Linked DNA regions of Tribolium castaneum. The protein of the gene in region 1 purifies or fractionates together with the protein of each later gene. This does not show direct contact. Links are inferred from orthologs where the notes say so. Each region holds a gene or a part of one and is shown on either strand. Other genes may lie near its edges.

The links.
Region 2: the proteins of Sec20 (region 1) and Use1 purify together in Homo sapiens (co-immunoprecipitation; 4 studies listed by BioGRID and IntAct, counting the BioPlex papers as one, with this or other methods). This does not show direct contact. The link is inferred for Tribolium castaneum from reciprocal best matches to the Homo sapiens genes BNIP1 and USE1.

The regions. Positions count from the first base shown.
Region 1 is NC_087395.1:17,502,806-17,505,225, forward strand, and holds Sec20 (vesicle transport protein SEC20), read right to left. Parts: upstream 1,418-2,420; 5' UTR 1,317-1,417; coding exon 1,236-1,316; intron 1,182-1,235; coding exon 1,009-1,181; intron 960-1,008; coding exon 539-959; 3' UTR 513-538; downstream 1-512. UniProt on the Homo sapiens protein: As part of a SNARE complex may be involved in endoplasmic reticulum membranes fusion and be required for the maintenance of endoplasmic reticulum organization. Also plays a role in apoptosis.
Region 2 is NC_087396.1:21,173,886-21,176,825, forward strand, and holds Use1 (vesicle transport protein USE1), read right to left. Parts: upstream 1,524-2,940; coding exon 1,375-1,523; intron 1,327-1,374; coding exon 1,202-1,326; intron 1,156-1,201; coding exon 853-1,155; intron 840-852; exon of another isoform or gene 805-839; coding exon 767-804; 3' UTR 766-766; downstream 1-765. Other genes in the region: Grip75 (gamma-tubulin complex component 4), read left to right, coding at 1-59, 112-319, 373-441, 493-765; focadhesin, read left to right, coding at 1,910-2,163, 2,212-2,400, 2,446-2,602, 2,651-2,940.

The sequences.
Region 1 (2,420 bases):
ATCAATGCTTTAAGAATAATTAATGAAGACCAAAACCGTTGTATTAAAAGATCAGTTGAATGTAAAGAACAGCGTATTATAGAACAAGCAAGAAATCATAATAGAAAAATCTGTACTTTCATAAATTATAAAGAAGCTTATGATTATATTCCCCATTCTTGTTTAACCGAAAATACATAAAAATATATAAAATACGTCGGTTTTAAACAATCATATCAATTGAGTTTTGTTAAGAGATTTAAATACCATGCGATCAATTGAATTTATAATTAAAGTAGGTGATTTTTTGTCTTTGTGATTAAAAGCTAGTACGAACTGAGGGAAAAATCAGTTCTTTTAAAAACCCAATATTATTATTATTATAAATGTCTCAATAATAACGAAACGTATTTTAATAATAATGTGGTTACAACAATACAATAAATAATTTATTTAGCGTAATCTGGGGGCTTCCCAGATGCCTTGGACCAAGGTCCTTCAGTCTATAAAAACAATACTCGTAAAATAACTCATTATAACGAAAGTAGTTGAAGTTTATTTAAAATAATCGTTTTTGCACGATATAAAAAACACACGCCACAAAGAAGACAAACGCAAAGAACATGAGGATTTTATCGGTGAATTCCCTTCGCCCATACTTCGCCAGCAATTTCCCCGACTGGCTAATTGTACTTGAGGTTATTTTGAGTTCTTCCTGTGACCCGATTACACTATCGGAGGAAGTAACTAGCGCGTCCAGCGTATCCGCACTCCTTTTCGTCGTATCAGCTAATTGCCGACTGATTGATAACAACTGTTCGGTTACATTTGAGCTCATTTTGACCAAATTTTCCTTATCGCGTTTTTGCCTTTGACGCAGCGCCGTTTCCTCAGTTTTCGGTTTCAACAACTCCTCCTGAGCCCCCTTTTCTATGGCCAACATCGCACTAATATTGGCCTTTTTGAACGCCTCCATTGTGCTACAAAATTAATCTCTTCACACAAATGCGACACAATACACCAAATCACCTCGCTAATTGTTCACGATACGAAACTACGTCTTTCAAAAACGTGGGGTTTTTGCGCTCTTTGGCTATATCCCCGAATTTGTCGATGAATTTCCGCAAGGCGGAAATTTTTGAACGTCCCGCGCTATTCAAACCTTGCAATTCAGCCAATGGGCCGACGCATGCGTTGATGTCCTACCACAACACGGACGTGTCAAAAATCAGGGTTTATTTGTGGGTAATACGCACCTGAATTATCGCTCTAATTTGTAAATTGTGCTCAGTTATGTCTTTTCTCAACGTTTCTAGCACGTAATCGGATGAATCCATCGTTTTAAGCTCGTTAGCACCCGACTAAGCTAATGGAATGTAAATCTAGTAACCTACTCATGAGCAGGGTTTTCCGTTTTTGAACCAAGCAATGGCGCCAATTCAAAATTTAAACGTTAGTTTAAAGTATTAGCTCTTTGAAAAGTATGTAAACGCCAACGTCACATTTTTCTCAAAATTAGTTGTTATAAATTATTTATACACTTCAAAAAATTGATAGATAATGTAATTTATATTTTCAATGAGATCTAACCATTAATACGTATCTTACATTTATTTTTACCTTATTTAAAAAAATAATTTGGTAAAGAGCGTGGTTAGCGATTATTTTTTGTTGGTTTTGAATTTTGAGTAAAGACTGAAAATTTAAAAAATAAAATATCACTTTTAACACAAAACAAAAAAAACAATATTTTGTTTCTTTAAGCCTTTCCCTCCTTTTAAATTTTAAAGTAGGGGTGGCTAGCGATCAGGGGATGAAACCTAAAATGTAACTAATATTGGTTTTGAATTTCCCTTCGAGATCCTAATCGATCGGTTTTTGCTTGAAAATATCTTTATTCAATATCAACAGTTATTGAAATACAGTGGAACCTCCCTTAATGGACACCTCCGAAAAACGGACACCTCTTCACAACAGACATTTTTGTAAGAAGTTAACAATATATTAAAATTTCCACCTCTCCACAATAGACAATTAAAGGTTCCCCATCAGTGTCCGTTGTTGAGAAGTTTTACTGTACTCGTAAAATAGTACTTAAATCAATAATGGACAAATTTAGAGACTCATATGAGCCTAAAATTAGGGCTTTTCGAACTTAAACCCAAGAAGTTGTGGAATGATATTTGAGTTCCTAAATTGAGTCTTTCTCGCTCGCTAAGGCAACTTTTGCGGATCATTTAGGTGAATACAAAAAAAGTGTTTCGAGGGATAGCTGTACAACTTCAAGGATTTCCAGGACTGTAAAAGGATGTATAAGGAATGTATGGTGTACAAGATTTAGATCAGATGTTTACCCCTCGCAAATGGTAAAAAAACAAAAATTAAAAACAAATTGTAACGATTGGTCATTTACTACTAGACCACCATTTATTTCCTTAAAT
Region 2 (2,940 bases), on another chromosome or scaffold:
AGAACTCAGATCCACTTACACAAGTTGTGGCAAGCGCACATGTCCGGGAAACAAAACATGTGTGTATTAATTAAATAATCAATCGGTTATTGTTAATTTTTGCAAATTTAGTGACCGGCGAGTGTGGACTTTACGCCAGCATTTAATTTTCCTAGTCAATAATCTACAATATTACCTCCAAGTGGACGTGATCGAGGCGCAATTTTCGCTACTTTTGAAAGCGATCGAAAACGCCAACGAATTCGAGGAGATCATCAAAGTCCATCACGAGTTCATCAGCAATTTACTCGCGAAAACTTTCATCCTGACCCCTGATAAAGTAAGTCAAGTCGGTTTTGAAATTACTTTGGTTAGACTGAATTAATTTTGCAGAGCCACACTTATCAAAACAAACACCGGTTACACCAAACTCCCGCCGTTCAGTTTAACGTCCCGAGTGAAGTAATAATTGTTGATTAAGTGTTTAATTGAACAATTAATGGTTTGTTAAAGGTTTACAACGTGATAATCCAGCTGCTGGAGCTGTGTGACAATTTCTGCGTCATTGCGTCGACATGGCAACCGCAGTTAACCGAACCGGAAGTAACCGAGTTTGAACAGTTCCAGAAACGCACCGATACCATCGTCGATTCGCTTTTGTTTATTCTGTACAAGTTACATGAACGAGCCGATGGCCAACACTTGGTCCAGTTGTTGCACCAGCTCGACTTTAATCGCTTTTTCACTCGAAACAAACCCGAGTTTAACCTAACGCAAAGAACGTAATTTATTTTTTCTTCATCACTTTCATAAATAACACCATATCTGGAATAAATTAATTAGGAGGCAAAGTTATTTCATTCGGCGACTTACTAATAAAAACAACCACAACCACAAGTAACATGATCCACATCCAGCATTTCCAGGCCCGTTTCGAGTGCTCGGCCAATTTGTTCGATTCCGCGCTCAGTTTGGAATAGTTTTGGTCGGTTAGTTGCGCCGATCGCGACACAACTTCGGTGTCTTTTTTGATAATTTTATTGGCTAGTTCCGACTGTTCTTTCAAGTTTTTGGTCAAGATGAGCATATCGTCGGTGATTTTCTGTTGCATGTTTTCGTGGAAATTCAAAACTTGGTCTAAGTCGCTCGTTTCGGGGCCTTTGCGGTGCCTCACGCCTGCAAGCTTTACTAGTACCATGAACTGTTACAAGGGGCCACAGACCTAGGAGGCTCTCCCGGAGCAATTCGGTGTCGTTTTCAGGGGGGTATTTACTTGTAGTGATCCCCAAGTCGGCCTTAATGGCTGCGATACGGCGCTGGTACGTCAGCAGGAACTCATAGTTGGGACTTAAACGCCTGGTTTAGTGAAAATTCGGGGGTTTTGGGACAACTCACTCTGACATTTTTTTCACTTCTTGGTACATGTCTTCAAGACTTTCGACGTATTTAGGCATGCGGTCGTCGTCTTTTTGCTTGCTCTTGCACATGAGCTCGCACTTGGCCAGGAGGCGCCGCAAGTTCACCTCCTGACGCGACAGCCCCATTTTGGCCAACAAACAAACCCGCTCGTGCTAAGTTTTACGAAAAGGACCACGAACTTTCGCTTAATCACCTCATTTCAATAATACCGACGTGTTCAATCGAACTTTGACAGATAAAAGTGAGGTTACGTAAGGGGAACTGTGCCCCAAATTATGCAAATTGGGCGGTTTTGTGTCGTGGTTTTTGCACTATTTTAGGCCATGGACCTACACTACCAAAACGAAGCCACAAAAATTGATAATTAACGATTAAAAAATTGAAATGTCAATTGTCAAAAACCAAACCTCAAATTTCCCACAAAATTATTTAAGGAATTTTGACTTAAAAACACGTGTGTGGGCCAAAACGGGCCAAAAATCGAGTAATTGTGCCTGATTACTGTTCAATCATGGACGAATTGAGCACCCGATTGGATTCGGAAAACCCAACTGTGGCCACTCAAATCGTCTCAAAACTGGCCCAAATTGTGAAAAAGCGCCAAAGTGGTGATATTTTCGAAGTGCCCGAGTTCAGACTCTTGCGGGAAAAGTGTATGAGTGGCAGTGTTTTAGCAGCCGAGGCCATTTTACAAATTGTGAAAAGTGACCCCAAAGTGGCCAAATCGGTGATTACTGACTTTGTCACACTTATAACAACGGCAAAGTATGGGGGTTGTGTCACTGGGGCGTTGTCATGGCTGGTTTATTTCAGGTTCGCCCCAAACGTGGCATTTTTAATTAATAATTTGCTAATCACTGATTTGGAAGAAAGTGGGTACAAATCGTCGTATAACTTGCAAGTGCCCCAACACCCCTTTATTGTAATGCTGAGAGAGGCGCCAAATTCGTGGAGCGCGATTTTTCGGGAGATTAATTTTTGTTACAGAACGGCAAACCCGAAGTATTAATTACGTTTCAACGATCAGTTAGTTATTATTTTTTGCAGAACGATTTGTCATTACAATGAGTTACACAAACCGGTTTTTTTGTACGTTTTGTGTGACCCTAACGGGGAAAGTTTCCCGACTTTCAAACAAAAACTATGGAGTTTTATCATCGATAATAACGAGGAGCTAATTAATTGCTTATTGTCCTGGATGCAAGTAAGTAATTATTTAAAACAAGTGATGCAATTAACTGAATTATTCAAGTTTGAAAACAGGGACACAATCGAGATTAACTCCGAATTCTTGGCGGAATTATCCGATAATTTCGACCAAGACTTGCTACTTTTGTGGCAAGTTTCCTCCCTCTTCCAATTGATTAAAAGTAATTACGACCCGCGAGAAATCATCTACGACATTAATGAAACACTGGACCAGGTCACAAACTTAATTATTTTAAACCCAATTTTGTTAATTCTGTCCAAATCAATTGACTTATGTTCAGGGGCTTTCCTGTTGCCACTACTGAACTTAACCAAGATAATTGTTCACAAATC